Linked DNA regions of Arabidopsis thaliana. The protein of the gene in region 4 interacts with the protein of the main gene of each other region in a pairwise test. Each region holds a gene or a part of one and is shown on either strand. Other genes may lie near its edges.

What was found.
Region 1: the proteins of AT3G22440 (region 4) and AT4G32190 interact in a two-hybrid assay, tested with the Arabidopsis thaliana proteins (one large-scale study listed by BioGRID).
Region 2: the proteins of AT3G22440 (region 4) and AT1G01440 interact in a two-hybrid assay, tested with the Arabidopsis thaliana proteins (one large-scale study listed by BioGRID).
Region 3: the proteins of AT3G22440 (region 4) and AT1G20880 interact in a two-hybrid assay, tested with the Arabidopsis thaliana proteins (one large-scale study listed by BioGRID).

What each region holds. Positions count from the first base shown.
Region 1 is NC_003075.7:15,542,387-15,549,808, reverse strand, and holds AT4G32190 (Myosin heavy chain-related protein), read right to left. Parts: upstream 5,010-7,422; 5' UTR 4,758-5,009; coding exon 4,695-4,757; intron 4,409-4,694; coding exon 2,120-4,408; 3' UTR 1,952-2,119; downstream 1-1,951. Other genes in the region: ASY2 (DNA-binding HORMA family protein), read right to left, coding at 1-63, 183-318, 413-574, 645-741, 925-969; PANK2 (pantothenate kinase 2), read left to right, coding at 6,094-6,349, 6,519-6,734, 6,854-6,906, 7,161-7,277. UniProt on the Arabidopsis thaliana protein: Required for the initiation of starch granules biosynthesis in leaf chloroplasts. Involved in determining starch granule number and size in chloroplasts.
Region 2 is NC_003070.9:157,688-165,673, forward strand, and holds AT1G01440 (hypothetical protein (DUF3133)), read right to left. Parts: upstream 5,267-7,986; 5' UTR 4,800-5,266; intron 4,594-4,799; 5' UTR 4,533-4,593; coding exon 2,881-4,532; intron 2,792-2,880; coding exon 2,731-2,791; intron 2,616-2,730; coding exon 2,392-2,615; intron 2,306-2,391; coding exon 2,248-2,305; 3' UTR 1,941-2,247; downstream 1-1,940. Other genes in the region: TBL25 (TRICHOME BIREFRINGENCE-LIKE 25), read right to left, coding at 1-69, 142-425, 567-849; AT1G01450 (Protein kinase superfamily protein), read right to left, coding at 6,418-7,830.
Region 3 is NC_003070.9:7,259,920-7,267,796, forward strand, and holds AT1G20880 (RNA-binding (RRM/RBD/RNP motifs) family protein), read right to left. Parts: upstream 5,637-7,877; 5' UTR 4,916-5,636; coding exon 4,709-4,915; intron 4,366-4,708; coding exon 4,221-4,365; intron 4,079-4,220; coding exon 3,952-4,078; intron 3,409-3,951; coding exon 3,366-3,408; intron 3,263-3,365; coding exon 2,960-3,262; 3' UTR 2,955-2,959; exon of another isoform or gene 2,900-2,954; intron 2,862-2,899; 3' UTR 2,755-2,861; intron 2,674-2,754; 3' UTR 2,090-2,673; downstream 1-2,089. Other genes in the region: AT1G20870 (HSP20-like chaperones superfamily protein), read right to left, coding at 1-856; AT1G20875 (uncharacterized protein), read left to right, coding at 1,562-1,762; AT1G20890 (caveolin-1 protein), read right to left, coding at 6,169-6,311, 6,423-6,513, 6,594-6,725, 6,818-6,956, 7,053-7,141.
Region 4 is NC_003074.8:7,956,806-7,963,913, reverse strand, and holds AT3G22440 (FRIGIDA-like protein), read right to left. Parts: upstream 4,162-7,108; 5' UTR 4,061-4,161; coding exon 3,148-4,060; intron 2,814-3,147; coding exon 2,638-2,813; intron 2,538-2,637; coding exon 2,028-2,537; 3' UTR 1,543-2,027; downstream 1-1,542. Other genes in the region: AT3G22450 (Ribosomal L18p/L5e family protein), read right to left, coding at 536-1,471; AT3G22436 (uncharacterized protein), read left to right, coding at 5,894-6,016; AT3G22430 (RNA recognition motif XS domain protein), read right to left, coding at 6,309-6,664.

The DNA.
Region 1 (7,422 bases), on a different chromosome or scaffold from region 4:
CTCTGATAGGTAACAAATGCATTACTTCTTCGGGCATTCTGTCCAAAGTCTTCATCAACTGAACTAGGGTATGAACCATTTTGCAAGCTGAACTCGTGTTGTCACTACAATCATGAAATAATTTTAAGCAGGTTATGCAAGATAAAACAATCTAGACCTCACAATAGGATAAAAAATTTCACCTCATTTGATTTAGGGTCATGTCAGCAGTGGAGTTGTCAGCAGTGGAGTTAAGAGTTCCCCCATAGGTATTGATTCCAGTAATATTGATATTCATCCGGACATCTTGACTGTCAGAATCTGAATAGCTGAAAGAAACTGCAGTAACATAGTGAGAGTATCAATTAATCGGACCATTTTACCAGCGAACTACACTAGTATTGAACTAACCAATCATCTCCCAAGAACTTACATATGTATTCCTCAATCAAGGGACCATCTACTGTTTCACATATGTAGAATATCAGCTTTTTCAGGTGTTTCTTATGCAGGGCATCGTAGACCCCTTTCTCCATCCAGCCAATCAATCGGCGTGATTCAGCGTCCATAGGCATTAGCTTCTTCATCTTCAGATCTATATTGTGATTCAAAAGCGTCAGGTTCCCATTAAACAGTTGTAGAAACTTCCATGGTTAGTGTCTCACCTAAAGCAGGAACCGACATATCCTTGAAATACCGCACGGGAAAGAGGCCTCTGATGTAACTGATATTGAAGATGGCAGTACGGAGCAATTCCGTAGTCTATTTCAACACAACGAAGAACAAAACAAACAAGTCAGAGCCAAAAATATATGTATCGGCGTGATTGAGAATCGAAAGACGAAAATCCATCTCTAGACGCAGGACGCTACACACGCAAACTAAATCCAGCTGCGAAAATCACCAGCAAGGAACGAGAAATTGGAGCTAGAAGAGGTGACTTACCAAAATGAGCGATTGCTGCTCGTTGTTCTTGCTTACCACCACCATCTTTGGCTGAGAAATTTCGCCGGAAAAACCCTAGAATCGCATAGACGTATCTCTCTCTCTTTCGTACGGAAAAAGACTCAGAAGCGGGAGCGAGTTTGAAAATTTATAAAAAAGTTACTCAAAAAAATAGAGAAGGAAATTTAGGGGCAAGGTTGGTATTTGGCGATGCTAGTAGGGGTGATCCTATCAGTTACACTCTAACGGCCTACTATCTGTGTATACATGCTGTTGTAGGCATAAGTCCCAGGGTACGTCGCAAACCTTTTTCTATCAACGACACCTAAACGAGAGATTACCCTTGGCAAGAACCTTGTGGTGGCAGCCACTCTCGGCTGAATTTTATCTACGTAATAAACAAATACAAATCATTAAAAATCACTTAGTTTTGAGATCACTTAGACCACCTCCAATGTAATAAAAATAAATGAAAACAAGATATTAGGCTAAGGATTGATCCTAAGCTTAGAGTTTTAACATTTGTTAAAGACTTTAGTTGTGTTGCTTTGTGACTGGCTGAGAAAAAACTATATAAAAAAAGGATTATGCATTGTTTTAATAATGCTTAAATCTAGTCGTTATTTAAGTTTTTTGATTTGTATATTTTCTTTTTGCTTTTATATCATGATGTATGTATACAATTTTAATATTTGTAGTAATTATTAAGTATCAAAACCCGACTTTTGTACTTAGCATGAACGATTGAAATATGATTTGATTGAGTATCAGAGTATATATATGGCAAAATTTTGGTCCGAATCAAGCTTAAATATTATCCTTTTTCAAATTTTCATTTCTATATATTTTTTTGCTTTTATGTCATGATGCATGTTTACAATTTTATTATTTCTAATAATTATTAAGTTTTGTCAAATAAAAAACTTTATAATATTTTATTTTAAAATCTTTATTTTTTTTGAAGAAATCCTCTTAAAGTCTCCACCACCATTGGACAATAAAAAATTGTAAAGATTCAATAAAAACTCTAAACTTTAAATTATTTAATATTTATTATTATAAAATGCAAAGAGTTCTTGATTAAGACTCTCCAATAGACTTGCTCACAGTGACAAGTAAACATATTTAACCGCCAGTAATTCTACATATCCACAAAAGAATCATACAGATTAGGCTTATAAAGTTAATCAAAGCTTTATAAAATTACACCTTCCATGCATGTAGATGTACCAGCAACGATTCCTGCGTTCTCCAGGAGTTTCTCTGTCAAGGACCAGAGCCTGACAACTTCTGTTTTTACCTCACCAAGACACTCATTACTTCCTTCTGAATACCCTCTCTCTGGCATTACAGTGTGAGTTGTGTCGGCCTCAATGCTCATGTCAGCTTGAGTTAACAGTTCCGTGCTCATTTTTGCAAGCTTCTGTAATGCACTGGTCGCAGCTTCAACTTCAAGGTTAGCTGCCTCAAGCTGAAGCATCTCTATGGCCAGATCACCCATTGTTTTTTCCCCGACTCTCTCTTGTGCCAAGGCATATAGCACTTTCAAATCTTCACTGTCATTGATCGTTTCTTCTTTCAATTTCTTGAGTTCCTGCTCCTTGGCTTCTAATCTTCCCATGACCACGTTGATCTCTTCGTCTTTAAATGTCAAAGCCCTCTGCACCGCTAGAACTTCCATTTCTTTCATCCGTAGATTTTCTCTGGTGAAGCTTAACTCCATCACCAGCCGTTTGTTCTCCATTCCGTAATCATCATGAGGTTTCTCTAGTGGTTGCTGCATTGAGTCAATGCTTATCTCATTGTTAATCCTCATTGCATTCTGATTTTGACCGTTGGTGGTTGACATAAGCAGTCTGTTCGTCAATTCTGCAATTCTTTCCACCACCATTTCAGCTTCAGTGACTTTCAGCTTGGAACTGCCCAACTCACCTTCTATTCTGTGAAGGTGGACATCTTTCTCCTTCAGCATCTCAGTTGCCTCCATAAGCTGATCTTCTCTACTGATCATAAGTGCCTTTAGCTCTGTTACCTCCTGGTTCACTTCTCCCAATTTATTTCGAGCTTCAGCGAGTTCTTCATCCTTTTCTTGCAGTAATAGTTCTAGAGAAGCCTGTTCGGACTTCAGATGCTGAATCTCTAGTTTGGCCTCCACCAAACTTGACTCTTTCTCCTGAAGTAGATTTTGTGATACCTGAAACGCATTAGCTTTTTTGTAAAGCTCATCTTGAATAACGGATATATCATGCATAGCTAGCTCCAACAATGGTTTCTCTTTCTGCAACTCCTCTCGTAAATCCTCCAGCAATTCTTTTTGGACCGATATTTCCCGCTCAAGCGCAAAATTTTTAGCCTCAACAACTCTGAGCTTTACTCTCTCACTTTCAACTTCAGTGTGCGCATCCCTCAAGCTTTGCATATATGACAACACACTTTTCCTCTGTTCCTCGAGTTCCTCCAATTGTTTTTCCAATAGTAGCTCTTTTTCTTCCATTTGCTCCCTGGAAAATACCAAAGCTTCCCGAGAAGAAATAAGCTCGAATCTTACATCAGTCAGAAGCTTTTTCACTTTCATGAAGTCCTCCATGGTTTCATTGGCTTCTCCTAAACGTTTCACGGTTTCCTCTTTAAGCTTATTCACTTCATCCTGGGCTATCAGCCACTCTTCTGTCTGTTTCTTCAAGTTGGCTTCTGTTTCTCTAAGCTTTTCTTGTTCAAGTTTCTTCGTAGCCTTAGAAATCTCTAATTCTTCTTCCTTCTCCTCAAGAGCTCTCTGAAGTGCATATATTTCACCTTCTTGTCTCTTGACAACTTCGTTGGCTTTGCTTAAGAGTTGTGACTTGCTTTCAAATTCAGAAATAGCCATAGAAACCTCCTTGCTTCTGTTTGCAATCTCTTGACGCATCTTCTCTAGCTCTTCCTCTTTCAAAGTCAAGGACGATTGCAAAGCAGCACGTTCCTCGTCTCTTTCCCTTAGCTTATGCTTTAACTCTTCTATCTCCCTGGCTTGAGAAGCTAACTCCACATTTGCCCGCTTCAGCTCCTCTTGTAGACTCTCATGCTTCAACGAAGCTTCAGAGATTGTTTTCTCACGTTTTTCTAACTCCTCCTTTGCCCGGTTAAGTTTATTTTTGTCAGAGAGAAGCTTCCTCTCAGCATCGTGCAGGTCCTCTTCCCTTTTCAACAAGGCCACTAGCGCAGCCTCAAGGTCAGACTCAAGCACGCCAAGGTTTGAATAGGGGAGATCATCATCGTCAGGATAAACCGAGTGTTGATTGGTTTGTCTCTCCAATCTGTGTGTCCGAGCAAATAATTTATCGAAAAGAACATTTGCAGACTCAGCTGAGCCATTGTCGTTGATGTTGGGTCTTGTATTGTGCAAGACTGATTGAACACTCAGTAAAAGATGTCTCTTTCTCCTTGTAATGCTCGGGAATGCGACAAGACTCTTCTGCTTATGGTTTACTACTCTTGTCAAACAATACTGCATAAGAAAAAATCATATGGCCGACATCAAAATCAAAATCAAAAGTTTGATTATTTTGGACAGACACTAATCAATATGGATGCAAGCAAACTTATTCAAATTAAAGGAACAGTATTGAAATTTGCAATCTTTTTAAGCCAGAACAAGGAACAATCAGAACAAGGCCAGCAAAAGTCAAAAATTCAAGTTTGATAAAGTTAAGAGTAAGTAAAGTGTTGTGAATCAGCAGCGATATATAAATGAAAATATAGGGGATAATATAGAGAAAGGTAAGGAAACAAACATCGCAGGGAGAGGGAGAGGAGAAGGAAGCAAGATTCAAGCGAATGGCCTGAGAGAAACCCATCCTGAGAGCATAATTATGCAATCGCCATGGAGCTTAAAGACGGAACAAAACCCAAATCCACTGGATCAAATTTAACAAGTGGGCGTTTTGGAGAAGAATGCTTACGAGAACAAATCCAAGGAAGAAGAAGAAGAATCTAGCTAGGGAATGGATATTGTTACAAAATTCTTTTACCAAAAAAAAGGATACAAAATAATAAATAGAGGCTCGCGTTGGCTTGCGAGTTGTGGTCGCCAGTAAACTCGAAAGTCCTTTTTGCCCTTATTCATAAGATGCATGTCGGCATTGTCCAAATACACGGCCAAGGGATCTATTTGTAAAAATAATGGACTCTTCTTAATTACGTACGTGGTAACGGTTTTCTAGTATGACAATTCTCTTTCTTTCGCGTAGTCGGCTAGTCGCGTGGTTAGAAATGCTTACACACTAAAGAGTATGTTATATTAAACTGGAATATAAATTTAAGAAACTGAATAAAAGTCATCAGGCCCATGACATTGGCCCAATAGACCCAATGAAAAACCAATCCATCAGCTAGTTTTCTTAACATATCAACCCAACGAGGTTGTATCTTGTTACATTTGCAAGTGAACTTTTTTATCATTAAAAAATGTAACAATGGTATTTTTGGTTTAGTGTTCCTAAAATATTTGTTTCCCACATAAGATTTTATCTACACCAAATAGTCCAATTGTATAATATAATCCATCTTCACAAAAGCATTTTAAAGGATATCCTACCTTCTAAATTCCGGCGAAAAATATCTTAAATCTGAAAAAGTGATTTATCGTGAATAGTGTAATGTTAGCAAAATCTTAAACTTCAAAAAATCGTAAAACATAAAGAATTAAGTGTGACGGATTAATTAAGATATCGAAACCAACACAGTAATCCTCATCTATGACTTGGAAAAACTCATAAGTGGCAAGTGGAGTTCGAGTTTGGTCATTATTGTGAAACACCAAACCTAATCCACTTACAAATTCATTAAAAACTACAAATTTGTGTGGTAGTTTTTTTTTTTTTTTGGGAAATTTATGTGGTAGTTAATTAGTTAACAAACAATTATATATAAATACAAATTTTGTTTGGAGTTAGGTCCGCTTCAGCCTGCTTAAGCGATTCTAAGCTTAGTCGTATAATCGTATTAGCAAAAGCTCGAACAGTTTACTTCTTTACCCTGGAAAGTCTTATCATCATCAGTTCGTGTCGTTTGACTTTTTAAACTTTGCAAGGAAGGGTTTTGTGGTGGTTTGGGAGAATTAGGCAATTGTTGGTGATCCGATTTTTCTGGGTTTGGTTGGGTTCCTTTTTTATTTTTTAATAAAAAAAAAAAATGGCGGGTCAAGAGGATGAGTATGATCCAATTCTTGACAATAAAAGAGAAGCTGAAGCAAAATCTCAGGTTTCTGTTGCTGCTGATAAAAATATGGCTCCTTCTACTTCTGGTACTCCGATCCACAGATCAGGCTCTAGACCTCAGCTTGATCTAAGCAAAGCCGAAATTCAGGGGAACCTCGAGGAGAGAGATCCCACCATTTTATTGCCTAATCAGTCTGATGATATCTCTCATTTGGCTCTTGATATCGGAGGTGACAACAAATTTCACTTCTTTTTTATTTTCACTGTAGTTGACCATTGATCTAGTGCTTGTGGTTCTTCCAGTAGTATTTGGTGTCACTTCTTGGTTTTGGCAATTTCGATGTTTATTTCTTAAGTGCTATGTTTGAGAATTATGAACCCTTTTAAGTTTATTTGCAGGTTCTTTGATAAAGTTGTTGTATTTTTCACGACATGAGGACTACTCTAATGATGATGATAAGCGGAAGAGGACGATCAAGGAGAGATTGGGTATTACCAATGGCAACTTGAGAAGTTATCCTGTTCTTGGTGGTAGACTTCATTTTGTCAAGTTTGAGACTCACAAAATTAATGAGTGCTTGGATTTTATTCATTCCAAGCAGCTTCATCGCCGAGGTATTATTACTTTTATCCTTTTCAGTGTATGAAATGTTGTTTTGTATTATAAGATCAATTTCTGGTGATTTACTCTTCAATTCGTCTTCTTCTCCATTTCTTTTCAACTAAATGAATAGATCCTTATCCTTGGAGTTCAAAGACCTTGCCTTTGGGGACTGGTGTTATCAAGGTAATCGCATTTTTATGACTTGATTGTTTTTATCTTTATCACCTTTTGAGGCTCCTTCTGCATATATTTAGCTCGCTCTTTCATTTGAGATACCAGATAACATTTAAGACCCTCATAATTATTGTTTTTAGGTGAAACGTTTTTTATATTTATAAGTCTTGTATATCCATGTAATGTGATTTGCTGATTCGGCTTTGATTAGTTGATTATTACTTGTTTTAAACATATGAGTCAAGCGTACGTGTATCTTTCAGGTCACAGGTGGCGGGGCATTTAAATTTGCAGACTTGTTCAAGGAACGGCTGGGCGTTAGTATTGAGAAAGAAGATGAAATGCATTGTCTTGTTTCTGGAGCAAATTTTTTGCTCAAGGTAAGACCTTTCTTTATGCAACATTCCATTTATGTTGTCTCTGCATACATATTTGTACCTTTTATTACTAGCACTTGCGAAATAGAAACGTAAAGACAGACTCTCATTATATGTGACCGGTTGATTTGTTTGTTGAAGTTCTGAG
Region 2 (7,986 bases), on a different chromosome or scaffold from region 4:
GTAAGAAGGGAATCTCCAGATCCTTGATTTGTATTCCTTGTCATGGAAGATATCTTCTACTTCTTCTACCTAAAACAAGGGCAAGTAGATTTAAGGCTGCTGCTATACAGAGAAATGAAATTAGAGAAACTGTTGTTGTACCTGAGAGAGAATGCAGAGGAGGGATTGGACATGGTTACGAGAGATGGAATCACCGATAAAAGCCAACCATTTGTTCCTCATATTGTCAAGGAATTGCTCAGGGTTAAACCTCGGGAGATCGCAATCGCGAGGTTGCCATCTCCATCGAAGGTAATTCACATCTGGCCTTCCGTTTTTCAAGCAATTTTGGTAATCTTGGATATGACGGCAAGAGACATTGGTGTAGATTGGCCCTGATGGGTCTGGTACCCAATTCCCGATAAAGATATCACACTTGGTTGAAACTACAATTGTTCAAACACTTGGTGAGCACAAATCCAAAATAAGAATTTCTTCTCAAAACCCAATTTCCTCACGTTGCTTGGGTCTTACTCTATTGAATTTGAGACTAAAGTAGTGATGATCGGAAAAAGATGATCTCTTACCATTCTGTGAAGCAATGGTTGTGATGTTTGCTGGGGAATCGACAGAGGCTGAAGTTTGAGTGATGGCAGTGAGACCTGAAGGATCCGGCGGGAGAGATTCCGGCGAGGATCGAACGGTGGGAACCGGAGAGACGGTGGAATTAGTGATGAGAAAACGGTAAGCGAGACCGATCAAAAGGAAGAAAGCGACGGATTTGAGGAAAATTTGATTGCGTTGGTGAGAGGAACCAAATGGGGTTCCTTCAATCTTGATGCTCTTAGATATTAATCTCAATGAATCCATTGCAATTAGAGAGAAGAGCAGATCACTGAGTTTTTTCAAATGTTTCCCTAATTAGCTTTCTGGAGGTTTTTGGTTGGCGTTGAAAGCGAGGAACTTCATCATTATAAAAAAGACACAGCGGATCCTGTTTTTTTCTTTTTTTCTCAGAAGTACTAAAACATGTTAGTAATAATTAACTCGAGTTTTTTTGTTTGCATGTGTTTGAATTACTGTAATTGTTTCCACTTTGTTTATGTCGGTCGTGGCTTCATTTAATTTGTGGAGAGATATTCAGAAGAAGAAAATAATCTAATGATTAGGCATCCATAATTGTTTTTAAAGTTACAATTATACAACTGTAAAGCGCGAATCGTGTACTTGTTGTCTCTTTAAACATGATTAAGCCATTGCTATTACGGGTGACATGGTACCATTAATTATTTCCAACGTAGACAGGATTACAGTAATCTCTACATTTATGGAAATTAGGTGATTAGTTTGTATTTGTAGTGTCTATCAAACGAAACTCGATAAGGATGGTCCTACAGTATTTATTGATTAATTATCACTTATCAGGAGCAAAGATAGAGACTTGTTCTCTCTCTCTTTTTTCAACTAAAGACAGAGACCTCGCACTTAGATTTAATGGTTGAAACTTGTAACTAAAACTACTTGTGAGTATATAAATTAGTATCTAGTTTATGCTTTACACATCTAATTAGACGAAAAAATATATTTTGTCTTCTGATAACCGTGGTAATTTTCATGCTAATTTTGTTTTAAACGTTCTATCTAGAGAAAAAAAAAAAATCGTTCTATCTAGACGGTAGAATTAGTTCTCGGTGATTTAAAACATAAACTAATCTTTAGACATGAATTAGTCGTTTTAGACAGACTAGATTATCGACTCTGTTTTTTTATATGGAGTAGGGTACACCACGACCACGAGGCCCATTGTGAATAAATTATTCCATGGGCTTTAAATATTTGCTACGTGGACCCATCTTACTTGAAGTTGATTTTGGATCTACCATACCAGTGTGTTTTCTTTCTTGAAAACGATTTAACAAGTACACACAGCCTGGACAGATCTATAAATATATACATTTATCTTTTGTCACAAAATCAAACAAATATTATTTTATTTCCCAACAGGCAACAGGTTATCCACAATAAAAAATGATCAATTTACATAAACCAGATCACAAGATATAAAACCATACGGTTTATCTCTTAGACAAAAAAAAAAAAAGTAAGAGAAAGAATGGAACATTGTAAGAGAACCCCCAAAAAAGAAACTAAACCCAAAAACAGAATAGCAAATAAGTTTTGGGTCAGAATATAAGCAAAGATGTGTTATATATCAATCACAAAGAATAATTTACAAATCAGAGAGGTCAAAACAAAGCTGACGAAGCTTCACGAGACTAATGATCTTGGAACCCTCATGCCAAATCCATGCTTCACCTTGTCAACCCTGATTCAATTTTCAACCATAAAATTTCAGAATCAACTAAATGATTGATGTAAAAATTTGATTACATGGAATTGTGTTGTGCTTACGTTGGAGCTAATCTGCCAAGACTCTTAAGTTCTTCACCAGAGTCTCCATCAAGAACTCTTCCTGCTATATCAATGATGTAAGAACGGTTCTTGCCTCGAGGAAGACCTCTACTTGATAGTAACTCTAGGTCTCTCTCGTGAAGCTCTCTTCCGTTTACAAACACACTCGTGTTTCCTGCACCGCAGTTATCCGGCATTGGTCGACTAAACTCCTCTATAAATGGCTGCATCAACCAACAATTGTTTCCCATTTCCTCATCAAGTACCAATCAATACAAAGAATTATGAAACAGTGTACTGGAATTCAAAGCAATATAGAAGAGATGTGAAAGTTCTTACTGGTATTATACCGAGACAAGGGTTTCCCATCACTCCCCAGAATCCAGCACGGTAATCATACCTGGTCAGAATCATAACATAAAGATGGTTTCTTGAACGACTGATCAATTCTTTTGACGTAGATTTATCAAAACGTAACCCCAAACATACCAGTATTTGCCAGCTTGAACTGGCCCAGCTTGTTTCTCAGCGCTAATAACCAGATCTTCTGGTATCAGATACCCATTCACCCAAACCTCTAGCTGCTCGTTGTTTTGGTCGTTAGAACTGATATTATTTGTGACCTCTGCGAAACTGTGCTCACTACTCTGCTTTCGGTTTCTTGGTCGTCTCCCTTCTTTGCTGGCTTTTGAGATCCTTGAATCTTCAGACTCCTCGGTGTTAGTATAGTACTCATTATAAGAAACATCTGTCTCAGTAGCTACTGATTCTGATTTCAGGGAGTCTTGTTTCGTGTATGATTCTTGCTTATAGTACCCTAACTGCGCCATTCCGTAAGTGATTGCAGCTCGGTTTACATTAGAATACTCAAAGAGCTCAAGAAGATTGGACTTTTCCGGAGGAGGAGGAGGAGGAACCTTCGCGCCTTGGGCTCTGCTGCGAACAGACTTGACGACCTGTTTCCGCGGCTCACTAGAAATGCTTGACCTGTCTTCATCGTTTGAGTGATCACTAGGCGATACAGCATGGACAATTTTCGTTTCCTGGTGTATTCTTGGTTCTTCATCATTGAGTGGATAATCATCTACCACAGGGATTGGTGAGCTTCTATCTTCAACCTCTACAGAAACCCGGTTCGTAGTTTCCCCCAGGGCAGAAGATGAGAAAACAAGCTTCTTATCAACAACTCTGAACGTGATAACCTCAGAACAAGCACCACATTGCATCTTTTGTTGCCTTTCCTGACCAAGAAGCTTCTTCTTAGGCACATATAGCAGCTCAAAGCAACTGTGACAAGCAATAAAAGGCGCACCGCCTGCTAGAGGATGGCAACGACGTGAATCAGTATCAGACACAGCTTGTTGAACATACCCACGAGCAAAAGCACCACCCATTTCAGAATCAATTTCACTAGGCCACCTCGTGTGAACACCACCATGTGGACTAAAGGGTCCAACTTTCTCACCGTGGTGCAAAGCCGGGCTAAATGGGACATCACCATACCTACTTGGCGTACCCGGAAAGAATCTAGGGTCCTGTAACTGTGACTCAAGTATATCAGAGCCAATGTCTACATACTGTCCTTGAGGATAGGGTGGACGAGGCGGCATCTGATTAGGGTAATGACTTGGTCCTTGATAAAAGTTTTGAGGTATCCTATGCACTGGGAATCCATAAGGGTCTCTATAAGCTGGAACATGAGGTTGGTTACTCGCGGTAGGATACATTCCATAAGGAAATGGCTCAGGGTATGGATTGTAATAAGAAGGAGGAGGTCCATGATGGGCATGGAAACCCATTGGTGGCTGATCAACAACAGTAGCATTATTACCTCCACCACGGAGAAGATGATCTTTAATAGAATCAAGCTTTCTCAAAAGCTCGGCTTGTTGTTTATCAGTGTACTGAATTGGGTTGTTTCTGGTGGTTGTGTTCTTAGAAGAAGAAGAATCTGAATCAGTCTCTTCCTCCTTTCTCGAGCTCTTGACGAATCTCTGAGAACCAGGTCGTGAATTCGAATCGTCTAGGCGATTTCTCATCGGGCTAGTAGCGGATTCATTGAGATCCTCCTTAAAGCCTCTGTCTTCATCACTTCTTGAGGAACCAGTATCTGCTCCATAAACGTCACCGCTTGTCCTCATCGGAAAAAAAAAACAAAAATTCTCCGACGAAGACCAGCTTCTAGGGTTTTGCTTGTTTAAACTGCAACAGAAATAATAATCCTTGAATTCAAACAAAATCCGAAATTATCAACAAATTCTCTAATCGAATCTTCTCCAATCCGCGAATAGTAACATGGTAGAGCAAATCTTAAAATTTTCCTAGAGACTAGTTCAAGAGTTTCCATGATTGCACAGCATCCAAAACGGGAAAGACAAGACAGAGAGATATAGGAAAATCAAACGCACCTCGAAGAAGAGTGATTCCGGCGTCAGTATTATGAATATTTTTTGGGCAATTTCTTCGTCTCCGGTGAGAATCAAGCTTTTAGTCTCTTTGACGCAGCCATTTTTTAATATTAAAGGAGTTTTGTGAAAATTTCAGAGGAATTTATTTAAATAATCAAAAGACTTCGAACAATAGCTCTACTTTTCTTGCTTCGTTTTCCCGGGAATCTACCAACTAGGAACAATTAGATCGACAATGGAGTTTAAGAATTTTGACATATCTAGAAACTATGAGTCTTACCAGGTCAAGTTGACCAAGAGATAACGTGACGACCAAAAATAATGCAACAAAATAAAAATAGTAGTAACTAATGAATTGGTTGGATCGATTCGAATTTAACTGCATTTGAAAGGTGAAAGTTAAAGTACCAAATTAGGTCTTTGATATATTTGTGTCTCGCTGCTCCAAAACCAACAATACCTTGAACTACACACACTATTCATCATGGCCATGGTGGGTTTAGTTTATAACGATGAATGTGTACGTATTTTATACATGTATTGTATAATATTATCTTGTCAAAATAGATGGTGTGCCATGTTCCCAGACGTGCTCATAACTTGAATTCTTTTCATCATCATCATCTTTAAAAAGTTTAGAGATGTATTTTAGTTGTTGGAATTGTATTTTATATTAGGGTGACAATGACAAATGTTATAGCTGTAAAGTATTTTTTGTACAAATCAGCTGCTTAGTTTGTTTACTCCACTTGCTTATAATGTTATATTTGACAAATCTGTTGGTATTAAAATCATAATAACGTACTTATCACCAAAAAAAAAAAAGAAATCATAGCTTCATTCATCTAAAACTAGAGTGGGGACTTTTTGGTCATATCACAATCAATGACATAATAAAAGCGTCGGAGGATGGATGTGACGGAGTCGGCGGTGGCGGAGATATTGAAATTGACGAGAGACAGAGCCAAAGCTCCGAACCACGCCATGTCTCTAGTCCCCGGCGGAATCGCTGTTCCCCTTTTTTGTTAAGGTAATTTTCAGGCAGATTAGTCAAGGTTCCTTATTTTTGATGTTTTTATCCACATTCGAAGCCCAAAATTTGATTAGTGTAATTTGATGGTGTTTGATAGATTGTAGAAATAGTGGAGCAGGCCTAGTTTACTTCACTTCAGCGTTGAGCCTCTACAGTCTAGGCACATAATTTTGCCTCATATGATTTGTTTCCTTTAAGATAATATTGTAGCTAGTAGCTACTGAATCAATCAGTCACTAGCCTGAACAATATACGAGCCTAGTAGTATCTGTAGGAAACTTTGAATAAAGAAGAATTTTATCGTTTTCGATAGATATGTAGTGGAGTGTGTGTCACCACATACGAGTTAGTATGTCTTTTGACTTGTACAGCATTTTGAACTTGCTATTATGAACCTATTCTTTTTCCCTGCAGACTAGGAAAGCTCAGAGTCAGAGGCATGTCCAGAGTTTGATCGTCGTATCCTTGGGCTTATCAATATCAGCTGACTCTCAGAGTTTGCTCTCATGCTTTGCCCACCACAAGGGCTTAGTGGCGGATGCCTTGATCGTCCTCTCGGAGTTGTCCCTGAACAGAATCCAAAGGCTAGTGACACAAAACAAAAAAATTAGTACAAGTAACCAAGTTCATATTTGTTAGGGAGCCTATATATATATATATATATTGGCTGATGATAATCTCACCTGGTTTTTGAATTGGTTTCAGGCTAGAAGCTCTTTTCAGAAGATTTGAAACCTGCTTCTTGCTCATACCAACATCATTTGAGGAGCATGACAATCTTCTTTCCTTGGCATATGACAACTGCTCATCTGATCCTGCCCCACCCTCATCCTCGCTACACGAAGCCCATTCACTTCCTGATTCCGATGGTTCCCGGAGATTATCCTTTTCACACGTTTTTGCCCGTTCCACAACCCTATATGCAAACATTTGAAAAGGAACCTGTGAAACTTTGGTTAGCTCTGTAGATTCCCAAGAAAGCTTCTGCAATAGCTTTGTCTCGATCTCGCAGTAATCCACAGTAGGCGCAATGGACGGGTCTTGTTGGCTACTACTGTAACATTCCGGGTTCAAAGCTAGAAACCGTTTGATATACCGGAGAATTCTGCTTATCGATGAGAAAGTTGGACGCTGATTGGGATCAGCATGCCAGCATCGTTTTGTCAGGTTTGTTATGAACTTTGGTGAATTAAATGGAAAAAGCGGTCTCTCCCCGGCCCTAATGTTTCTACTCATCTTATCTCCTTGCAGGTGGCTATCTTCAAATGGTACTTTACCTGTCAGAAGCTCAAAGCTAACCATCCCAAAGCTATACACGTCAGATTTATCACTATACTTAAGGCTTCCTGCAGTTCCACTCTGTTCTTGCTCCTCTAGAACTTCTGGAGAATACCATATGAATGGAAAATTCTCATTCTGACTCGTCAAAGAAGCACTTTTACTAGAGAATCCCTTGACAGAATTCAACCCGAACCCAAAAATCTTCCCAAGCAGATACCCATCTCCGGATTGGTTACTTCTTGGTTTGACAAGAATGTTTGATGGATTCAACTCTCCGTGGTATATTCTCTTCGAGTGAAGATATTCCATACCCAAAGCTATCTGAAGCATCAGATCAACCGCGACCGGGAGGGAGAGAGTGTTCTTCTTCCTAGGACCACATACCTCTTTGATGTGCATTCCAAGGGTTTTCCTCATCAGTTCCATGACCAAGAAACACTCTTTCTTCTCCTCATCCGTGAATCCGCAGAGGTAATATACAATGTTTGGGTGTGAAAGAGATAGCAATGGAGTAATCTGAGGAAGCAAAGCATCAATATCCCCAAAGAAATGCCTAAGCGCAAAGCTCTCGCCTAACCAGGTAATCTCCTTGTACTGACTTCCATTCCCTAATCTTTTTTTCACTTGGTAATCTTTTGTGTTATCCAGAAGAGAAGAAGGAAATAGCTTGGGGCTCTCATTTCCATCTCCCAAATGCTTCAAAAGGAAATCAGCCATCTTCCGTTCATGTTTGCTCGAACCGGACTGCTTTTTCTCCTGAAGCTCCTTGATCAGAATCCAACGGTCCTCTGTCCAAGCACTCTCGAACCGGTTGCAGAAATCCTCGGTCACCAAATACTCTCTCCCAAACTTCCAGGTAAACATCTGAGAGTC
Region 3 (7,877 bases), on a different chromosome or scaffold from region 4:
TTCCACTAACAGCATGACCAGTAACTGCTTCTTCTTCCTTGTTCTTTCGCTTGCATGTTTCTGGAAGCTTTACAAATGAATAGTAGTCTTGGTCAGAGACAATTCCACTGAATGCAGATTCTCCGTTTCTTGAACAGTCCTGCTTCATTCCCTGGCTTTCTGGTATGTCTCCCGAAAGTCTTTCTGGTTCACTGATTACGCAACTAGCAACCGCGTCTTCCCCTTCCTTTCTCTTGCACGTTTCTTGAAGCTCACCAGATGAATTGTAGTCCTCGTTAGTGACAACTCCATTAGCTGTCGCATCACCATTTCTTGAACAGTCCTGCTCAGTTTCCCGGCTTTCATCCAGATTAACCCGAGGAGATAAAGACGTGACTCTATCGATTTTCAGGTCGTCCAAACGCGACAAGCATCTGAACCTTTGGAGTTCTTCCTTGTTTATGAACCCTACTGCAGGATCATCAATAACAACAATTCCTTTCACAATCTCGTGGCTCGGGGAATACCTTTTCTGCGGGTGAAGATTCGTCGGGAAAAAATGCGTGAACTGAGGAAACTTTCCACTTGGTTCCAATGGTAGATATCCCTTGAGATACATATAAATCATGTCTGGATGAAGAAGGAGGCTGGACTTGGCGTTTCTGAGTACATTATAGTACAAGTTCTGTAGCTGGGAAACAGTTAGAGAGGAAGATCCAATGTGCATCAAAGTGTAAGGTGGCAAACCTCTAGCTAATCTTTGAGAAGATGAACATCTTGGGTTATCAGAATAGACATCAGGACCCAAGTAGTTGCTCATGATGAAATTAACCAAGAAATACTGATCACTCGATAATCCGTCGCTATACAGACTCATATCTTCGATATCAATGAACCTGCATTACATATGAAAGTGGCAACATTGTCACAAATGGAAGCAATAAGGACATTCCAAAAACATAGTTACAGGACATAATTAAGTGTCTCAAATTTGCCAATTTAGTCATAGCATTGAAAATCTCCATCATTTTAGTCCCTAGATCTCTTAAGTTTAACCCTTTTCTAACAATGACTTTAGTCTCCATAATGTTTTGCCTTATCATTACTAAGGAGAAAACATCTTCAAATTAAACCCTAAAAACTTCACTTATTAACAGCAAAATCTACATTTGAAAAGACTATGTTGATATTTTGAGAAAGATTAGTAACTCTGCTTCATATATACTCTTCACAATACAAAAAAAAAAAAAAAACCAATTTTTACCCAGAAAATATCGCAATCCAACAATTTTTCACTAGTTAGCTCAAAGTCAACAATTTTCCTTAAATCTAAAGGTTACTACGCTTGAATACGAACCAGTTTGTACTTTTTACAGCAAAAATCGATCCCACATTGTTCCCACCACAGAAGATAAATAGGGATTATGCAATTTCAACCTTACAAGTCCAGCGATTGTGAAAATTCAAGCAACATTCATGGAGAAAAAACGAGAAGAAATTCGAAGCTTAAGCATGACAGAAAATTCTCAGTGGCAGATTTTACCTTTTTTAATTTCGTCGTGATGTTTTTGGGTTGAGGAGGATGATGGAGGTGAAGAGAAGAGAGATTTCTCTGCGAGAAAGAAATGTTTGGTGTAAGGAGAAAAATGCAAAAGAGGATGGGGGTCCTTTGCTTGCTACACGTGGCTACCACGTGGGTCCCGCAAATAACCGCATTTGGAGGTATCACTTGTCACCTGGCTCACCACGTGCCGTCTTGTTGAAGCACTTTTGGGCCTTTTAAAAAGTATAAGGCCCAAATGTTTTGTATGTCTTATTCTCATTGATAAAGCTTATTCTTTTAAACGAGAGGAAGTTGTAGGAAAATGGGAACATTAATCTTGTTTGTGCTGACTAAACTATCTCTAAATCAGTTTTCTCGGACATCAAAACATCATTACTATGCCACTACCTCATTATGTAATCCTTTTAATTATGTGTTGATCAATTTTTACTTTGATGGATCAAAGAAGGAAACGTAATTACATCCACCCCCAAAAATTGGACTCTTTAAAAATGGTTTAAATGACGATGAATTTAACTAAAAACTCGAATCTATCATCTTGAAAGCAAGTGGTAAACGAAGTGATAAATGGAGTATAAACAGAGGAATCAGAGTAGAAGATAGGAGTCATAGACAGAAACAATTGAGAAGAACAATTTATCAGTCTAGAAACTGTACAGACATAGAAAAGAGAAGAATCCTGGAGCTAAAATTTATGCACAGACAAAGAAGCTGAAGTGAGCTCCATAGTCATTAATTTTTTACTTACAATGCAGAGGACTTGACTCAAGAGGACGTGAGAATCTACCTAGTAATATTACCAACACTCATATGCCTTAAGAGAGTGTGTAGTAAGAAGACTACTTTTACCACCCAAAAGAATCAGATGTTGATTCCACCATTCTATATGCATTTATGTATGTGTTTATATATATATGAACTTTCTTTGTACACCAAACTTATTCCTACCAGTTTACCGCGAAAACCCTTGTTTCCGGGGTGAAACTATTCATATAGTTTATGCCATCAAGCTTGTTGTGGGCTATATACATAGGATGAGAGGGTTAAAGATAACAGAAGCACAAACCCTGAAACTTCCATTCTCCTTTCCCCCTTTTTTGACTTCTTCAGTGAGCAAGACTACTTAATACCTGTAACGACGGTAATGAGGTGAGATCGAAAACATTTGCAAGTACTGAAACTTAAAAGGGCACCTAAGGAAACAAGCTTACCTCTAGAATGCGAAAATAAATAATGTGCTAAGCTTAAACAGGAAGCCTGCCAGAGTAGCATTTGTCCTGGACTTCTTCCCTTTTCTGCAATCTTTAAGGATTACTAACTGAAAACCGATAAATAACAATGAGGTCGTGTAAGTGTGTACGAACTTCAATCCAATTTGGACCATCAAAAAAGAATCCAAGAATTTGCTTACGTTGATCACCCTGTTGTCTGATCAGAACCGCTACTCTGTATATACTGAGGAGGAGTCTGGACGATGACACGTTGGTGCGTTGGAGCTGAAGGAGAAGGGTATGGAGATTGAATAGCAGACATAGGTGAAGTGGCACCAAGCTGTAGAACATGACTTCCTGGATGTGAATAACCTTGACCCGCTGTATAACCGTGAGCACCAGGAATAGTATGGCTCAGTTGCCCATATTGATAACCCGGTGAGTTAACTGCCCCAGGTACTCCATAAACCTGAAGGTACTGTTGACCCATGTAAGGACCATAGAAACCCTACAACACCATGAAGAGAAGACATGAGTTTATAACTAAAGCCACAACAGTTTAAAATGCATAAAGAAGGTAAGAAGGAACTGCAATAATTTCAAGCGCCTACCTGAGACTGTGAGTACATGTAGTCAGGTCCATATGGTGTAACCCTGAGAGAACCCCAAAAAGCACAGCTAATATTAGAGACAGGTGAGTAAAGTTTTGGCTAAACACTCTTTAAGAAAAGAAGAGTAACACTTATACAAAACAGCTAGAATATGTTATGCTACGAAAGAAAGATGCTAAGCTAGGGGGGAAAAACCTAAGTCCACTCCAAAATGTCCATTCCAAAAATCTAGGTAATTTTGCCCTATCAAAGTCCAAAAACATTCATGACCTTGCCTGTCCAAAACAAATTGAGCTCGGCCACATATCCTCTGCAATTATATTTTTGTATTCCTGCAAGTTACCAATCACAACATGTCACATGATAGTGCTACACTCAAGAACCCTAAGTGGCAGAAGATACAACCCCTAACGCAATAGAATCTCTAGATGATTGTCCATGATGTGATTGGTAAATGCCACTTGATCAAAGTGACTGAAGGACTAGCATGTAGAACATTAGAACTGATACACTCATCAAAGCTTGTCTGTTATAGCAGATTTACAATAGCAACGAAATGTTCTGAGCTTCAAATTGCATAACTCACCCATAAGGGTACACCACTCCTTGTTGGTAGTTATAAGTAGGGGGTTGGTGATACGGATGGCTTCCAAAATGCAAACCGCGAGGACTCTGCACACTTCCAACATATGGGGAAGGAGGTCTTACCCGTCCTAACCAAATAAAAGAAGCAATGCAGTGATTCAAGGTTAACACGGTCATAATCCTTGAAAAATTGAATACTTCACCAAAATTATAAAGGTCTCTGTATGTAATGCGAAGAAAAGAATAGATGAATACTGAAGTAAGACTGACCAGGAGCATGGGGTATCACTGCATATTGCATTGGAGGCCTAGATCTCCCAAGAGAAGCGAGATTACAATTCGCTCGTCTGCCATCTATAATAGGTGTTGGATCGACACAGGCTCTCCTAGCAGCCTCTGGATCTCGGAAAGTCACCTAAATCCTCCATACAAATCATAAACATAGCGGTAAGTCATTCTACAATCATGAACATAAACCAACAGATACATCAGAACAAACAAATGAAAGAGACTCCTCTAATTAGCAAAGATAGACAAAAGTTTCATCAAAACACGTATTTTCGAATTCAACTTCTTTGAGTTTATTCAAAGAACTAGAAATCATAAGTCAAGCAGATCATTCACCAATCTAAAGCAACATTTAGTACCCAATAATCTATAAGCATACCATGGAAGCAGAGAATGTTTATTACAAGCAGTATAATAAACCAACTTCAGATATTAGAAACCAAAGCATGAACAAAAAGTAGGATACTCACAAAGCCATAACCTTTGGATCGACCAGTGTTCTTATCAGTAATAACGACAGCCTCAAGGATATCACCATATTGATCGAAATGCCGACGAAGAGTCTCGCTTTGAGTCTCCCAGGCAAGGCCACCAACAAAGACTTTAGTAAAGGTTGTGTCACCAAAAGGAGAATTCAAGTAATGAAACCCAGAGCTCGGAATCGAATGATACGCCATGGATTAGAACCAAAGACGGAAACTTTGATGAAGTATGGATAGAGACAGATCCTAAGACTTGACCCGGTAAACCCTAGAGATAGATTGAATGATTAAACCTGAAGATGAAGAAACAGAACATATAAATTTGAAAAGAGGAGATTCTAGGGTTTACAAGGGCCTTCGAAGAGAAGAGGGTGAGAAACAGAAAAAGTGAGATCGGCCCCAAAGAAACCTAATAAAGGATCATACTTGACAAGTAATGATCATGACGAGAGAAACAAAAAATAGAGAGAGAGAGAGAAAATTTCCCGGGAAAAAAACAGAAAAATGAAAAGAAGTTAGGGGAAAAGGGGTTTAAAACTTTGAAAGATGTGCCACGGAAGAAGAGAAGACTCGGTTCCGGTAGGTACACAAGAATGATTCTAGGGTTGCTCAATTGGTAGAACAACAGAAAACGAGAGAGACGAATTCGAATCAAGCGTTGGGGAAAATGGGGAGGAGAGAAAGAGGGATGATTTTGAGTGGTTTTAGGGATTTAGATAGAAAAATACAAGGGGACAAGGAAGGATTTGTTTATGGAAGTTTTAACATTCATGATGATGGTGAAGAAGTTGGTGATGACGAAGACGATGATGCGTGATTATGATTCATAAATTCTTCGAGAGAGAGAGAAAACAAAAGGAGTTGTTCTTCACCCTGGGTCCCACTCGAAATCATCTAGTAATTATGATTAACGCTGTAATTAATTAGAACACAAATTGTGGTTTTGTCCGAATCCTAGTTTGGTTCTTTTATTATCACAGTTGGTTGGAGTTATTTTAGCGGATTACTGCCGGGAAATTAACGGTTATTTCATACATTATATGAACAAAAAAAAATTCATTTATTTATTAAAAATATGTGTAACCTCTTTGCTTTTAATTAATTACTCCCTATTCCCAAAAGATAATACGGTGTACTTTAGAGTTATTCATCTTGTGGAATGTTGTTTGTTGGATTGAAATTCAAACGGATAAGCGTTACTTAACTATATACGATCAAACCATACAAGTTCAGAATAGGACTTCCCGCGTCTGAAAAACATGAAATCAATCTAACACATGTAGACTTATATACTCTTCTTTGAGTGCGGTGTGGTAAGGTAAGGTATATGAATGAGGCAGTGGACATGTAAGAACTAAAAACCATACAAAATTAGATGAACAAACATCAAAATGCGAACAGAGTAACAAAACAAAGAGGTGAGGAAACTGTATTAACCATGCTTCTTCTTAACGATCACGATCTACATCTTTGATCAGAAGATAAGATGGGAGGAACCGGGGAAGAATCAACGCGACAACGAGACACAAAACTACTAAAACCACCACTGACCAGCTTGAGTGAGGGATGCCTAAGAGCTGTTCTTCACAAACTGTCAACATGAGAGTTTTCAGACTCTAGAAGAAGCACTACACTTAATACAAGTTCTTATGTTGTGAAAAGAAGAAGATTGATGAGATAGTAAGTAGAAAAAAAAGCTTGCCTATGTTGTAAATGATGGACGGTCTTTCTTTAACATTTGGTATAGCCACGATTCCTTCAGGTTCCACCGTCACCAAAACATACAATCCCTCCTAAATCAGAAACAAACTCCTAAACTTGTATTCGTTCTTCTTTCTAAGTTTTAGGAACTAACTGAAGAAGATGGCAATACCTTGTTATCAACTTCTTCAATACTTTCTGTTTTGAAGATCAACTTCTCAGTGTTTAGTAATCTCCTCATATGGTTAACCTTCAAACCCATTACACCGTTCTTCAGTAATTGCAGCGAAAATAGAGCCGGTATCTGTTATCATAACAAAAAAGGATGAGATTTTTAACAAGCACAAGAACCTTGGAAACATAAGAACATAGAACAAGATAACAAATTTGACATACAGAAGCTGGGTATGATATCTTGACTTCATACCAAGAGTTCGACTTAAGCCCTTGTAATTTGTAAACTCGAGATCCAGATTTCAATGGCAGTGTCTCTTTCCAAAGTTCCTTCCCAGCATATAAAGTTTTTCCACCAAACCTAAGAGAAACCTGATAACATCATTTCTACAGTACCAATAAAAGAATCCAAATTGATGAGTTTGGGGATAATGTGAGGTTTTTCAACAACACTTACAGTCTCTCATCGCTATAACAAGTCACAAAATTTATGAAGACGATAAGACAGATGAGCAAGTAGCATTCTTTATAGCGTAAATCGATCATCCTACGAGTTCTGTATCAATCCCTAAAGAAGAAAACGATTTTTGTCAATTTGATGAATCGGTTAAAGTATCAGCTTCATGTTAAGCAATCTCTGCAATATTTTCTCTCAGCAACGGAATACGAAAATACCAGAAGTTATAAAACGCGCGAAATCGAATTGACTTACCAGAGATCAGTCTCTCGCCGGAGATGACAGTTTCTATGCGACAATTGGATCGGCGAATACGATTCCGGCGACTTCGGAGAAAGACTCAAAATCGTTGTCGACGATCGCTAGCGTGAGACTTGGGCCTTTGATTAATAATGTACTGATATATTGATTGGGCTAATTTGAGGCCCAATTTAATATACTTGGCTTGTAGACAAAGTGAAAATATAAGCGGATCATGACCCGTCCACGTCACTCTTGCGAAAATCAGGACATAAACTGTACACGTGGTCAGATCTCCACGTCGAGATATCTACGTGGCGAGTTCTAAGGATATTTTGTCCTGTCTTTTTGTGGGGTCCATTTATGGGCCCAAAGGCCTTCGACACTAACTCAGAAAGTCCAAAATAGTAAGGTAAACATGTGGGCTCCTTTATAAACCAAATTGGCAATTTGCCCATGTTGCTTCCTTCCTACTAAATAGTTAAATTCTATTCAATATATCACCTTTATTTTTGGTTTTTAGATTATTATACGTCAATAAAATCACCTTTTAATGTTTACTATATACAAATTATAATATTTAAT
Region 4 (7,108 bases):
TCTTGGAGGTTACTTACTTCAGTTACATCTTTAGCGATTTTAGGAGCCACTGAAGCCATGTTTCAAGCTCACTGCTTAGATTTCACAAAAGAAAAAAGATGAATGCAATTGTTAAATATCATGTATAATTAATCAAAATATTCGATTAATATAGGATCATCTCATCATCTGATTATAGGTTTACAACAACAACAAAAAAAAAAAACTTATTTAAAACTTTTCATTTCACGCCAACTTTGTCCTGATCATGATGCATCAAAAACTTTCCAGATGAATAAACAAACCATGATATATATATCATCATACCTGAAAATATATCGATCTAGCAAATAAAAATCGGTGGGAATTGTGAACAAAGGTCGATCGGCTATGGAAGAGCAGAGAAGTTACGTATAAGAAAACGATGATATCATTGTTAGAAAGTCAACACTTTGACCCGACAAGAAACGTAGAAATGAAACGGATAACATTTTTTGGGCCCCACACAGAAACATATCTTCTGGGCCCATATTACAAACTAGAAAATTTCAGTCCTCTAGGCCATCATTAGATGACTAGTCTTCTTCTTAAGTTTCCTCTGCTTAAGCTTCACTTTAACATTAACACCATTGTCAATAAGAGCTTGAAGCACGACCTGAAGCTTACCTTCAATTTTATCTCCTTTCCTAGGAGTGTATATAACATCATGTATGTCATCTTCCAAACTTCTTTGAGCAAGAACTGCCCCAACCGCAGCGCAAGCTGCAACGTTTCTTCTCGAACCAAGATCGAATTTCATGTCTTTTGAAATCGAATGAGCCACAGTTACAACCTTACTAGTCACCCTGTGAATCACACATGCTCGTACAGACTCTTTCGAGATGTATATGTCTAAGCAAAACGGGTAGTGAAATGGCGCCGTGAGTTGGTTAAACGTAAATGTTCTTTCTCTCTTCTTCACAGCTTCATTAGGATGATCCGTCTCACCTGTGAAAGAGTCATTTCTCTTCTTGTATTCGTCACGAACTTCCTTCTTGTTATCCTTCTTTATCTTTGTTTCTTCTTCTTGGTTTTGCTCCTTTTTAGCGTTCTTGTGTTGATTCTTGCGGTGGAAGTCATAGTTGTATTCCTCGAATTCTTTTGAACCTCGATCGAGCTTGAAGAAAAGATCACCGCGAATTCTCATGTTATCGATTTCATCGTGATCGGGATCTTCATCATCGAGTATTGTTTCTCTTACTCCTTGTATTGTAACGGGAGAGTTTTTTGCAGTGTCTGCTTGGAACTGTCTCCAAGCTTGGGATAAAGATGATGAAACATGCCAAACATCATCATCCACAGTTTCTATACCACAACCACTCAAACCAGTCACTGTAACTTTACCACTTTCACTGTTGGAAAATCTCGAGGAGAAGCAACGCGGTGCAGGTCGAAAAACGGAGATAAAATCTGGCAAACGGAGACACTTTCTTCTCAAAACCATCAAAGCCATTGAAGGAAAAGAGACCAATTCTGAAAACGCACGTGAAAACTAAACGGTAAGATTTCAAAGAGACATATCGTCGAACATCTGGTGTGCAAGGTTGGTAAAGAGAAATTTCTCACCACTGGCTTTGTGTCTTGTACCGAAATTGAATCACCACTTTGCTCAATGAAGAAGAAATGCAATTCAACAGAGAACTGGTGGGTATGTCTTCAAAGCAACGACCTCCGATGTTAGATTTGATCGGAGATAGTTGGTGACGAAGAGAAGTTTGTCATTCGATTAACAGAGTACAGAAATATAAGTTTGTTGACTGAATATTAGACATTACAAAAGCTTGAGTTTTGTTTTATATGCGATTAATAATAAACACACCAGAGGATATAAGCTAAGTTACTAAGAGAGTTAGGCTGAGAAAGAGATATTACAGACAAAAACGACGACGTAGGAAGACAATAGACCCAGAGAGAGAGAACACCAGAGTAGTAGCAGTTGTCACAGTATCAGTGATTTGTTGGTTATTACCAATCTTCTTCCTTGTTTTGTTGTCACACTGTCTTCTAATTCAGTAGTAATGTTGCTGATGGTGGAATTGGTGGTGTTGATGATGGTGTGGGTGGTAAACTGGAGGAGCTGGAGCAGGAACTGGACCATTACAATAACCGTTGTACGCTGGGTAACCGATAGGAGAGCCTTGGTATGAGCCTGGGATGATCTCCGGAGAGTATGGATAAGGTGGGCTTCTGTTGCTGTAGACTGTTGTAGGTGGGGATGGGTAAGCTGCTGGTGAAGCGTATTGAGGAGAGTGAGAGGGTGATCTGATGAACGGGAAGGAAGAGACGTATGCGTTTGTGATACGCCCGGCTTTGGCTGGTGGCATTGGACCGTTGTAGCTGGCTCGGGTTCTTTTGTTGGCAGGAACAGCTGCTGGCTTTCTCTTCTCGGTTTTGGTCTTCTCTAGCTGATCCAACCGTTTCTTGAGGTTCTCTGGAGGGAACTCTTCCTCGAGTTTGTACTCTTCTATGCATTTTAAAACCGCCTTAAGTGCTGATTGCTCCTTGCGCGCCACGAGATGCTTAGGAAGAAAACATAACAAGGAAGATATTAACTTTCAGGGACGCACAGATAAAAATATTTAGCTGCGATAGAAATGAGTAGATGCAATGAGTAGATACCGTAGCTCGGCCAGTATTGCTAGAGTCCTCCATGATAGAAGCTGCTGACTTCTTTGCGTCCCTTAGATAAGCTTTGAGCAAAGGAACAGGAGGGAACTTATCCACAAGCCCAACTTCATAAGTAAAATGAACAGCATCAAGCTGTTGTCCCCTGCTGATTAATTCTTCAATCATGTCTGTGGACAGCGCAACAACTTGTAAGTTCAGATATTATAAAACGAGATACAGAGAAAAAGGCTTCAACTTCACACAGTCTGTGGTCAATAACACCTTGTACCACTAATGTCTCAGACTTCACCACAATCTATGCCATACAATGTTTGCCACACAAACTTAATATTCGACTAATCAACTCGTAAACTATTTGTAACCTACCAAAACTATACATCTAGATGGGTTAAACTATTAGTAAACTAGCCAATTTCAAAACCATATATGATCTCACAAGTTACAATGAGCATGCCAGGATAAAAAACTAATAGGTAGAAGATAAGAGCTTAAGAGGATTACCAGGCATTTGATCACCCAAACCAACAGAAACCGCAAGCTTAGGCATCTGTTTACGCCACGCAGATCCAACAACAAGCTTTCTATACAAAGCAAGATCTTCACTTTTAACAATTCCAAATGTAACAAGATGCTGCAAAAACGTATGAACATCAGGAGTCTTCACATTCTCTATCCTTCCTCTCTCTTCCAAACTCTTCTTCCACGTCTCAGCAATCTCCTTAGCTTTCTCCTTAACACTCGGAGTAACAAGCAACCTCGATTTCCCAATCACTGGATCAACAATTACAGGTGTTAAACTCTCAAGAATCACAACACAAGCCCATCCATAATCATTGCTAACTTTATCTCCTCTTGTATCCACCGGAAAAACCTCAGATATCGCTTCAAGCACTAACATCGCCGGATCTACACAATCAACCAACGCCGCCGGAATCTTTGACCGGAGATTCTCCAACTCCTTCTTCCTCGCCGTCACAAAGTTCCAAAAACCTCTCGCATCCATTTTAAGACAAAGAGATTTCAAAGCAGAAAGAAGACCTTCTTCATCGTCAACATCACCGGAATCATCATTAGAACCATCACCACAACCATCTCTAGCTTTCTCTAACGATTCAAGAGCAGCTCTAGCTCGTTCACCTACTTTCCCAGCTACGATCTCAACGCTATGGTCGATTGTTACCTCTCTACGCTTCAGAGACTCGAGCGAGGTCTGAGTCTGGTTATCTAGAGTTTCAATCATCTGCTTCAACGCTTCAGATTTCTTCATCAGATTCTGCTCTAGAGAAGTGAAGTGATCGGAGAGCTCTTGCCATAGAAGAGTACAGCTAGTCATCAACGACGTCTGTTTCTGAAACTCCTCGAAACTCGGCTGAGCTAACTCAGTTAACTCGCCTGGATCGGGGACTGACCCCATCGCCGGAATCGGAAAAGAAACTCAAACTCCGTTGATTTGATTGATACAGCAGAGAAGAATAAACTCAAGAGAGAGAGTGAAATTGAAGAAACCCTAGAAATGGGAAAAAAGTAAAGAGACGAAGAAGAAGATAAGAGACAAAAGAAACAGTGACGTGGACAACTCGAAATAGCGACACGTCTCAGTGGAGTCTGATTAAAGGCGCGATTATTACATATTCTTCTATATTGCGCCGTCGACGCGTAGCTTAGCGTGATATGCGTAGTATAAGAGAGTTGGGTGATGACGTGGTAATAATAATAAGTACTATTACTATAGCTTTGCTTTAATTTTTCGTATAAAGAAAAAAAAAGGTGAAAGAGATAAGTGGGCCAAGCCCACTGACCACCACATGCGTTGAGTCGGAAACCAGTGAAGCATTGCCGGTAAAATACCAATTGAATAACAAAAAACTATATAGTATAGCAAAAAAAAAAAAATGTTGTTATAATTAATATGAAATTCTTTGTGTAGTGTAATGTAGTAATGTAAGAAGAAGAACAATGCATGTGTTTTGTAGAAAAGGCTGTAATGAAATCAGGGCACGCGTGACAAATGTTAAAACGTGATAATGAAGCAACCACAAAGAAGATTCATTAGTACACATATAAAACTAATCTTCGTACTATGTTTTTAATATCTTTGTGATATCAAAACAGAAGAATAGAATAAAAACGAAATTTTGAATTTGGTTTTATTAAAGCTATTGCTTTTTTGACATCAGTGGAATGGATATATCATAAAAACTTTTTTCTGTTGATATGTACAAAATGTTAAAACGGGACAGTGACATATAACACATTATTGAGGGGAAATATCCATTACTCTTTTAGACCTCTTGCTATTAGAGTATGATTTTATAGTTACAAAAAGGTTAGAGAAACATTACAAAATTAGAATGAGACGAAATATGAAACTGACGGCTAAGAATAATTTATCTAATTAAATGGGTCCGTAATGGCCGACTACATATGAACCGCCGATTACTGTTTCCGCTTTATAGAAAAAGTGAGTAGAGAAATTTGAAAAATGTGAGGGAGATAATCGAATTCAAAAGAGATAATGATTTAAATTTATGCATTGATTTGACCTCAGTCTAGCTAGTCTTATAGTAATATGATTATGACATTTTACATAATCTAGTCTTTTTTCTAATATGTTTAATTCTCTTATAGTGCATGTAACTCTATCAAAAGATACAAAGTACTTTGTCCTGCATATTGTACATTCATAAAATTATATCCTAGTTGTTATGATATTGGCCAAACTATAATCCTATATGTTATATTAACTTTCACTACCGGATAGTGCTTGATTACTTTCATAAGTGTTAAGGTTTATCTTAAATTCTTAATCACACGGCCTAAACCGAAGCTGATCAAACTTCCTTTAACAAAACGTGTAAATTGGTAAGCCAGAGCGAACCAAAGATTTGAATGAAGACATGTAATAAAGTTTATCAGAACACAAGAAAGTAGAGGGGAAAAAATCGTCAAAACACTTTATACCTAACTTGTCAATTAAAGAGTTATAAACAAAGACAAAACAAAATTTATATAGTGGTTACCAAAAGCCCCCACAAAATACAAGTCCTCTTATCTAATGTTTATTTTTGTTTTCATACCAATTTATAATTTTTTTTTTATTTTTTTTTATTCAAAGAAGATAGCTAGCTTAAACTAAACACCACCATTGTTGTCACCAATCTAAGGTGACCAAATACATAAAGCTACTACCAGAGTGCAAACAAAAACAATAACTCAATGTCATAGACATCATCAATACAATGGCACTATGGCAACATTGTTTGGTTGGTTCAATATTCTCATTTCCATAGGCTGGCTAAAGCCTAAAGAACAAGCAGGAACCACTATTCGAAAGGATGAGATAGAACAAGGAAAGAAGAAACGAACGTAGGAGAATCAACAGGGACATCAAAAGCATCAAGCAACTATCACAATATACTTCTAAGGATGTTGGTAAAGAGAACTTGTATATATCAGGTTCAACCGATATTAGACTATGCAATATGAACACTGAATCGAAGGATCAAAGAGACCAAGACTTCATCTATAAATTAAAAAAAAAAAAAAAAAAACTTTCGTTCCTCCTTTCGAGTTTTTTAGGTTGCGACTAAGAATCCAGATTCAATAGGCAACAAATACCTCGAAAGTTAAGTGTACCTTTCGTGGGAGAAGAAAACTGTAATTTACTTTGTTCTTGTGAGTTCTCTAAGGCTCTCGATTGTGGTTTTCTTCTTTGTCTCCACATCGACTTTGTCCAAGTCCGTTACAGTCGCGAGATAACCATAAAAGATCCTCTTTTTCTCTCCCGTCCTCCCATCAACCTCGACAAGACCAGGGTTTTTCTCATCATCTTTGCTTGGAGTGAGTGGCTGTACCCTCCCCCAACTCTTACGCCCACGGTTTATCTTCTCAAAATATTCTGCCATTCTCATAGCATCCCTGAGCCCTGAATCGTCTCCAGCAAACTTGAACAGGGTAATTCCCAAATGACCCTCTCTTCCATACAACGACTTCGATTTCCCACCAGTGAGTCCTAGTTCTGTAATTATATATAGAAATCAAAATGAAGGCAGACAAAATGTGTCATTGAGTGTTGTTACACGATATAGGCTAATAACTAGATACATGTACTTGCACACCCATCATTAGCCTAACCACAAGTTCTAAAAATAGAAGCTGAGATTCCTAGAGAAAAGACCAGAGAAGATGGTGGCCCAACAAAGTTATGTTAAAGAAGCTTATATACTTCTTAGACCACCACTGTTGCCTAGATTCTGATATTGTAAGGTATTGAAATCAGAGCTCAAACCAGAGTTATAAATTATTCTATGCTAAGTCATAGCAATTTTAAATTTACAAAATCACAGAGAAACATGGGAGAGAAACGGGCAGGGGTCTAAGTATAGTGAAGGTTTTTCCTGAGAAGCTATGTCAGATGATAATTGAATCATGTTAGTTTCCAGAGTCTTACTTTAAAACACCT